2 linked regions of the Drosophila melanogaster genome follow. The protein of the gene in region 2 interacts with the protein of the main gene of each other region in a pairwise test. Each region holds a gene or a part of one and is shown on either strand. Other genes may lie near its edges. The genes, in order: CG16734 and Alh.

Region 1 (4,243 bases), 2.1 Mb from region 2:
CGTAAATTAAATTAAATTACCAATTTTTTTTAATTTCTTGTCTTTAAAAACTTTTTTTCCACTTTTTATCAACATTTAAGCTTTCAAAAACATAAAAACATAAAATTAACAAGGTTTGTGTTTAAATCTGAGACCACCAGTCTTTTCTAAACTGCTCTTGCGAACACTACAACCATCAGAGATTCAAGATTCAGTTCTCTACAACTCTAAGCGAATCAAAATTTCTTAAAATTATTGTTGGAAACGAGGTATTTATGAACAAGGAAACAATCGAAGAAGCCCATAATCGTATAAAACTATAATTATAAGGTTAGATAATTGCAATTTAAAAACTTCCTGGATAGATATTCTTTCTTGGAATATATGAAAGTAAATTTTAGTGATAAATTTCACATTAAGAAATTATTCTCTTTAATTCGAATAAAAAATTTGTGACTCATATTCCAGATAAAATGACTGGATTCTTAAGACTATTGGTCGTATTTTGTGCTGTTTCAAAACTGAGCGCCCAAAGGTTAAATGCTTCTGAAGAAGAGAAAAATGCGAGAACAAACCTTTTTAAAGTTTTTAGTGAATAGATCAAATGCCGATGTCCTGAATCCACGCTCGCCTATGAATGAAAGTCAAAAAAGTGTGGACGCTCTCCAAATTGCTCCAAATTGCTCCAAATTGCCAGTGTGTGCCTTATAACCAATGTTATCCGCCGTCGGATGGTATTTTGGATACTCAAAATATCCACTGTCCAGATATATTGGCACTATGTTGTCCCTACAATCGATTACGAACAACGACTTTAAGTCCGAGCCCAAAGCCAAAAACGAGGCTGTGGAATTCTCAATGTCGGTGGTTTAAACGATATCCCAGCTGGCATTTAGTATAAATCCGAATTTGGCGAATTTCCCTGGACAGTGGCTGTAATGAAGACCGGTAACTATTCCTTTGCAGGCACACTTATTCATCCGCGGGTGGTTATGACTGTCACCTACCGGGTTGAAAATTGTGAAAACTACACAGTTCGTGCTGGGATATTGGACTTAAAATAAAATTTTGAGCTTCTACAGTCTCAAGAGATAAGGGTGCAAAGAATTATAAAGCATCCCAAATGCTGTAACGCGGCACTCTTAATCCTCGAGCAATCATTCGAACTGAACGATCATATTAATGTGATATGTCTACCTGACCAAGAAGCTGCTCCACCACCCACCTCATTGTGCTATGCCAATGGATGGGGAGAGAATGCATTCGGTAACTCGGGCCAATACACAACCATAATGAAACGGATGCCACTGCGCATTGTGGATACTGGCAAGTGTCGCGATCACTTGCTATCAATATTTGGAGCTTTTAACTAAGCACATCCATACTATGCGCTGCAGGCCAGCCAGGCGTAGAAATAGCCTACGACGATGTTGGTGGACCGCTGGCCTGTCCCCTTGGAAATCCCTCGGAAAATCGTTACCAGCTTAGTGGCATTGTGGTGTTCAGATTCTTCAAGGGACCAACCCGCATGACCAACGTATCATCGATTCGAAATTGGATTGACCAGGAAATGACTGCCAATGGTTATGATAAGTCTTACTATATCGCCTGATTAGGCCAATTAGAAAAATATTATAACTGTTTAAAAAAATAAAAACAAAACATATGTTCTTTTTGTAGAGAAAATAATAAAAAAAAATAATAAGTTATAATTATACAAATGATATATAATTTCAGTTTAATTATTAAAGAGGGTGCCACTGATTCTGTATTTCCTTTTCCTCTAATACTTGTGAAAATAAAATGAATTTTTTCATGTTCGTCAACAACATAAAACTAAAATGTTTTCTTTTTAAAAATAAGTATTGTGACGAAGTCATTTCTACTAACATTTTCACATCTGTTAAAAGTTATCTAAAAAATTCTGTTAAATCGATAGTTGCCGAGTGTTATCGGATTTGGCCGGCTTTTCTGTTTACGTTTTGGATGCTACATAATTTAAAAGAGATTTTCGAAAACAAAATGACTTGCGATGATACCACCGAAGCGCTCGCCACTCACATGTGTGAGCTGTTGGAGTTTTATATGCTGCCGGAGCTGAAGGAGGACCTGGACAACATTCAGCTGGAGACGTCGCAATTCGACAGCTACCATTCCCTACTTATCCAGGATCTGCCAAAGCTCTACGATTTGGTGCAGGAATTCCTCCTGAAAAGTGGTGATGCAGGACACGAAGAGGTTGTGCTTTGCAAACACTCAATTCCACGACTACAATCTAGTTAACTTTCAGCTAAGATTCAAGCTCCTCCTGCTGATTTGCGAATTGACAGCTTCGCCTACAATTTACCAACTAAAGGACGACTCTGGTAATCTCCTGAAGTATGCTAATGATTTGGCTAGTAAGCTGTCTTCCCATTGGTGGGAGTCGACGGATGATCAATTCCTGAAATACTACGAGAAGAAACTGCACAGGGATTGCTGGAAGAGACAACTAGGAGCTGTGCATGGTTTCGGCAGATATCTAGAGGTATACACTAACAGACAAATATTTATCCAGATAGTCCAGTTTGTTCACTTACTTTATCCCGCAGCTTCGTTACGGAAAGAAATCCGCAATGTCCACCCAAATGTTGGCTTTTGCACTATCCGTGGGTCTTAATGTGCGCGAATGCTATGATACTATCTACAAGCAACTTGGGGTCAAGATCTTCTCAGTGATGTTAAAATTTAGCGTACGTGTTAGACCACTTTAGCGCCAAGACCTTCAATGAAACACTTCATCCTTCAGGACTCCAAGGACATTCAGGAACTGAACGTGCACAGTGTGATCTATGACCATGCCCTCAAGGATGTCTACAACATGGACTCAATTGAAGCCATCGAATCTGTTTGGAACTGCCTGTATTTCTGTCTTGATCACTTTGTAGATCTAGATGCTTTCACGGTGTGTACCTTGAAACTTACTCTAGTTACTGAACATAAATATGATGGCAACTTTAGTGGAACCAATGCGACGACATGCTGGAACGCCTCATTCAGAACGTGACAATGGCCTCCAGCCCAAAAGTTTTAATCTGCCTGCTGCAGTATATCATCCGATTAGGATACTACTTCACCATCAATCGCAGCGATGTGAAAACTGCTTTGGCCATGGATATATGCGAACCAGATAAATTGGTAGCGTGTCGGGACGTATGCCTTGCTCTAAATGTTAGCACCAGCTATCGTTGGGCCAAGGCCATCCTACAAATGCTTGTCCTGGAGTCGAGCAAGCTGCTCCAAGGTGTCGAGGTATGCACTGCTTTACTGGATCAACTGCTAAGATGCTATCTGGTTTGCATCATGCCTATTCCTCTGCAAGCTTTGCATCCGCACCTGCCGGAGTTTTACGGGAAGTTTGTGGCTGTGTTAATGGAATGTTTGGTGGCCCACGAGAAGGCACCTCCAGTTCTAAAAGTATGTTATTATGTCTATATATATTTCTGGTTACATCTAACAGATCAATTTTTTCCCAGCTCGTTTCGCGGTTCATCGAAGTCTTTAGCTTCCAACTGGAAAACGGGATAACCGAAACAATGCCCGCCCAACTATCAGAATTCAAGGAGGCTCTGTCAATTGTGCACCACAAGATTTGTGAATAAATATGGGGGTCTTTATGTTATATAGCGATCTAGTAAGAAGCGATATACAAACGTTGCCAAAACAGTATGTGGGATAAGGGCCATTAGTGCCGGTTTCCATCCAAAAAAGAAGCCCTTGTAGCCATGTTTTCGGATAATTTTCCGATACAGATATGGATAGGAAGTGCGGCCATAGTGTGAGGATTCGTTTAACGTTAGAGTAGCCAACGCATCCACTGGTGTCATAATGACTGTGATAATACTGCCTGTTAGCGCCATAGTTATGAGATCGCTAAGCCACGGCTCGTCGAGTCTGTGGAACCATGATATCACTGTATGGACCTTATCACTAATAGGAGTATACAGCACGGCCACGGCTGTGCTACTAATCGAGTTTATTTTCCAACCGGTAAATAGGTAAGTAAATCCTCCCTTCGCGTACATACATTTGAGTCCTCTCCAGAAATTTCGATAGCTACAAAAAAGGGTTAACTTTCATAGCTTTGGAAGATTAAACGATACACATATAGATATTTGCTGGTTTCAAAATTAAACCGGAAAATGCCTATTTATGTTTATTCGGCCATATTCTTACTTGCGCCTCTCGTAGGATCCGCGCGTAAGATCAGCTTGCCGAATGACCG
Region 2 (5,302 bases):
TCCAGATAGTTACCAGCCTCCTCGCAGAGCAATCCAAGGCTCTGGGCGCAGGTGACGTGGAACTGCTGCTTGCAATTCGATTTGTTGCACTGCATACAGGCGCCAACATTGGCACGATTTGGTTTGCCAATTTCCTGGCAAATATAGCAAGCTGAAAATGGAAACGGATTGTAATTAATTATTGCCATTTAGCTAAGGCTAGTTTAACAAACAGGGGTTATAATTTTTCAATGAGTAACATTTTTTAAATAATATATGTAAATATAAAACATTTAAACATAGCTTACTCTTCGAGTACCGCTCCTGCGGTATTAATGACAATATGATGGGCTCCATGGTGGTCACATTCCCAAATCGCACCTCTGGGATGTACAGGGCGCAAACAACGTGCGCCCACCCGCTATTATCCGTCTTCTTAAGGGCGCCATCCCGCGAGGGACATAGTTCGCATCGGACGCGAGAGGTTCGCTCCTGGGACTCGCACTTGCGACAGTACCAGGGTCCAGTGGGAACCGTCACAATGCCATAGCACGCCTGGTGCACTGCCACAGTACAGTTCTGGCCGTCACAGTAGACGAGCGGGTTCTCCGGCCACCCCCGCTCGTCTGAACAAACGCAACAGCCGCCCACCATCTCCTTCATATCGTCCAACTTGAACTTTTTAATCTTGACCAGCTTCTTGTTCAAGCTTGTGGAGTGAATGGTGTCGTCTTTGCTGGAGTCTAGCTCCAGTTTCGCATTGAATGAAGACGGAATTTTGTTGGAGCTGCAAGTATATATATATATATATATATATATATATATATATATATATATATATATATATATAATATAAGAATTTTCCTTAAGTAAAAAGAGGATTTTTAAAACTCAATATATTTGGGTCCAATTAACGTTACCAGAGGAGCGTTGAAAGTTGAGCGAAAAGTTGAACATACATAAGTATGATGCACTTACGAATCTTCTGAATTTTATTTGTAATAGTATTTCTAATAAAAACAACGACTTTTTACCAAATTTGTATGGAATTAGCAGTAAAATTTATAAGAAATTTATTTGTTCAGCTTTCCTTATCAAGAAAATAAGCATGCTCTTTACTTTTTTCTTTCACATTTTTGTAATAATTTAAAGAACGTAGAGTCTATATAAAACATTTTTTATCAGAGCTCCGCTCCACCCCGCTCGAAGTCGACGATCTTGAGATAGAGGTTCCGGCCTTTCTCGTTATCGATAATATGCTGCTATCGAGGCAGGTGTCTATTGGCAAGGTCATTCGCACTCGGTTTTTCCACAATAACATCAACAAAAACAGTAGCCCTATAAAATATTATACCTAATTGTGCGCTTGTATTTACAACTTGGCCTTCGAAGCGAGAGCGAGAGAGATGGCACATGGAGCCCCGTTCGCAGAACATTTACACGCACACACAAATAATCTCTCAATGTCAAGGTAATTTTGCCGCTGCTTAATAATACATGCTAATTATGTATGTCGAATCATTTAAATAAAGACGGCCGAAAATATAAACAGCTATGCCACCGAATATTGATAGGAGGTTTTAGCACAGCAATACGAACAACAAATATTTTTAACTTTCACAAAACGGGCAACGCACACACAAACACTCTCTTCTGCGGCATTCCGTGGGCTGGTGTTGGTTCATTGAACCTGATTTAAATGGGCTACCAAAAATAAAACAGGAAAATGCAGCCCTGCCCCGAATCCAATTGGATGTCGATTTGGTCCCAATGTGCGATCGAACGCAAATATGTGGGTCGCGGAGATTTCACAACAACAACGGCAATTATTATAATAATAATAATAACGGCATGCGGGTGCTGTTTCTGTTTCATTCATGCATGCGCATCTGTGCGAGAGATCGCGGCGGAGGAGAGTGCGGGTCTAGTTGTACCGTTATTGGGTCAGCGTGTTGCCAACTGCCGAAAAAGAAAAACGCAGCCAGCGTGTTGCCAACAGCGGGTTAGCTGGAGTTCTCTAACTTAACGGTGTAAAATCACACACACTTGGCCATATGAAACGAGGCCGCTCTGCACGTTGCTTTTGTAATGAAGAGCAATGCACTTTCGACACAAGCAAACACACACTGTCGTCAGGCAGAACAGATACATACACACGCACGCGGGGAGATGCTACATTAATGTTGACGAAATGCCGGAAAAGGGGGCGCGCTTTTGGGGGGTGGAATACGGGTGGGTGTGTGTACATGTATATATGTACCCCATTTAAAACATCCTTCGGGGGAGTTTTTGGGGACTGGAGGGTAGTTTCTCCCAGTTTCCGCAACTCGTCTCTTAAAGCACTGCTTAAATTTCCTTCAAATTGTGTGTATACCCGTGGCTTGAATTTATTGATTTTTATGGGCAATTGCTTTAATTTCACTGGCCAGCAGGGCTTTAAAACGTCATCAGCGGTGTGCCACCAAACAAAAAGAAACTAGTTTCACGGCGGGGAAAATGCGCGCGGTCAAAGTCGTCAAGCAACGCACAACAAAAACAGAAAATATCTATTTTTTTCAGGGAGCGGTCTATCGAAAACTTGAAATTCTTTCGACTTTCTTGCTATTTTCACGCAGAGGTTTCTTATTGGCCGCTAGCACCCTCACAGAATATTGATTTTCTAAATTTCTTTACCCAATTTGGCACTTTAAATAAATGGTTTCCAGCCCGCAGCTGTGGGTTAGCGTTTATCTAGCTTTTCGTGGCTTTTCTCAGCACTTTTCCGCGTCTCACAGTCTTCACAGCCGCCCACGAGTAGCAAACGCACGCAAGTAAAATAATCAACACTCAAAAAAGGCGCTGAACAACACCATCCACCAGCGCAACAACAACACTGTGTGCGCGAGTATTTACAACTACAGCTACAACAACACCAGCAGCACACACCACTCCACACACCTTGTAACTTGTTTGTTGTTGTTTCGCTCGCACATCGGGAGCGAGCAGTGCGGGCGCGAGAGGGAGACAACACCACCTGCTCTGTATACAAATGCAGCTTAGTGGATACAATTTTGCTGGATGCGCGGTTTTTCCAATTGCCCGAATATCGCGAAAAGCTTGCAATTCCGAGACGTTCCGCGTTTTCCTTCTATGCAGACAGGTTTTTGAGCATTTTAACGCCGAAACAAGAAAAACCTCGGTTACCAGACGAATGGGCAGATTTCTAGCGATGGGTACTTTATCAGAGAAGGGTAAAATGCTTAGAGATGGGATGCGACTTGTCTGCATTTTTCCAGATTCAAAGGAAAACCCGATATTCATTATAACTTCCCTCTCTTATTCAATGCTGCTAATTATGGTGTAAATGAAGGTTGTAATTTAAGTAAATCGAATTCTTATTGGTGTTGGATCATAGTATTGTCAACATTAATGCTCGTCATTTAAATAATGGAGATGTATAAGGAAATATTTTATATATAGAACACTAAAATACCTAATCCTTATAGTTCTTTTAGAATTCTCCATACTAAACAAATAAATAACGTCCGATGTTGCCAGACGAGTCAACGGCTCATCGCCACGGTTCATTTCCACGATATATATTGGGCAGTGTTGAATAACGTTTGAACCTTAAACAGCTGTGGGAAAAATCAATTTTGCAACTCCCTCGCGCACTTCTGAAGAAACTTCTTCGCGAGAAAAGCACGGATAAAAATGACCAACGGTGACTGCTTTGTTGTTCTGCCCGAGAACTGTGCCGAAGGAACTTTGATCATCGGTCGCAATGCGGAGGACGAAAAAAACGTCAACGTTGCTTCGGAGGTTTGCTTCTACGATGCCACCGAAGTGCTTGAGGGGAAGGTAAAGACAGACTCCTCCGAAAACGAAGCTCGATCAATGACTCACCACCCAAACACCTCACATTTCAGACTGACGGTGGAGCTTCTGCCGAGACAGGCGGCGATATGTTGCGTGTTATATTGCAAAAACCGCAGCCGGGTCTCTGGGGTGGGGACTTCGGGGCCAATGAACGCGGAGTGGCCCTAGGTCTTACCTGGGCGGCAGGTGAAAACGAGGCCAAGGACAGCGACAGCCTGCTGGGCACGGATATAGTGCGGTAAGTTCTCTTTCAATATCTGCGTATCAACAAACTATGCACAACAAAGCAAATTATTTGCACTTAATATAAATAACTTTCATCACTAAAAATGTATGTACATATGAAGTCTATATAATGCAGAACGTAAATACTTATTCAAAGGATGACATTTTGTGGCTGATGTTTGTAATTAGCATTCCAATCCTTTCGTGTCCTTTAGGGCTTATTAATGCTTGAAGATACTATTATTTCAACATTATTTCATAAGTTAATTAAAAACGAATCAATCAGAAATTTAATGTTGTCGAGAAACTAAGGCTTTTACAATTATTATAAATCATGAAATAATAAATCATCTAATAACTTTTTTGTAGCTTGACTTTGGCTGTCGCCAAAGATGTGGACGATGCTGTAGACCGGATTGGAGCTTTGGTGGCCAGTCACGGTCACGACAACTCCAAACTAAACTTCATCGCTTGCGATGCAGCTGCTGCCTGGCTTGTGAGTTGCTCTGGCAAGGTATGGGCCGCTGAGAAATTGGAGGCCAGCTTCTTGCGTTTGCCCTCCGGAGGACTGGCTGTGACCACTGTGGTGAACAAGTCAAGCGAGGGATTAGATGACGCTGCCAGTTTTGCCGCTGCTCACGATGCAGAGGCCCAGGCCCCGGCAGTGGATTGGTGTGGTCCCAAGCCAGCTGGCGATGGAACATATACCCAGCACGACATGTTCGAGACGCTGCGATCCGCCAGTAATGCGAGCAGCTCGAGGGCGGCTACCGTTTCGGTGCTGTCGGTGAAGGGAATCTCATGCCATTGGTTCACCGGGACGCCCAATGCCGCCGAGTCTGTGTTTAAGCCGTTCGTTTTTGCCCCAAATCCGAGGATCTCGCCGCTAACCCAAGTGCAAGCGGAAGCGGACTTGACGTTGCTGCACAAGCTACACTCGCAACGCAAGCCGGCCGCCTTGGAGCACTTGCGCAGCTTGGAGCTCTCCTGCGTGGACGAGCTAAATAACTATTTCTCTCTGCAGGATCACGCCAGTGACGAGCTGGACGAACTGCTCAAGGACTGTGTCGAGGCGGAAGTCAAGTTCTATCGCTAGACCAACGAATACTATCTATATGGATACTCCAAAAACTAGCTTGCAAGCTCTATTGAGCATCGGGATTTGACTTGAGCATTCTTATGGCATTACCAAATAGGCTTTAGTCGTCAAAATATTTTCTTGTGCAATCTCTACTGATTT

The links.
Region 1: the proteins of Alh (region 2) and CG16734 interact in a two-hybrid assay, tested with the Drosophila melanogaster proteins (one large-scale study listed by BioGRID).

What each region holds. Positions count from the first base shown.
Region 1 is NT_033777.3:9,253,093-9,257,335, forward strand, and holds CG16734 (uncharacterized protein), read left to right. Parts: upstream 1-1,959; 5' UTR 1,960-2,001; coding exon 2,002-2,217; intron 2,218-2,269; coding exon 2,270-2,506; intron 2,507-2,570; coding exon 2,571-2,711; intron 2,712-2,767; coding exon 2,768-2,923; intron 2,924-2,979; coding exon 2,980-3,435; intron 3,436-3,494; coding exon 3,495-3,620; 3' UTR 3,621-3,632; downstream 3,633-4,243. Other genes in the region: CG16736 (uncharacterized protein), read right to left, coding at 3,633-4,074, 4,195-4,243.
Region 2 is NT_033777.3:7,120,988-7,126,289, forward strand, and holds the start of Alh (alhambra), read right to left. Parts: upstream 3,199-5,302; 5' UTR 2,952-3,198; coding exon 2,917-2,951; intron 2,752-2,916; exon of another isoform or gene 2,653-2,751; intron 767-2,652; coding exon 288-766; intron 152-287; coding exon 1-151. Other genes in the region: CG10098 (uncharacterized protein), read left to right, coding at 3,673-3,819, 3,888-4,075, 4,432-5,158.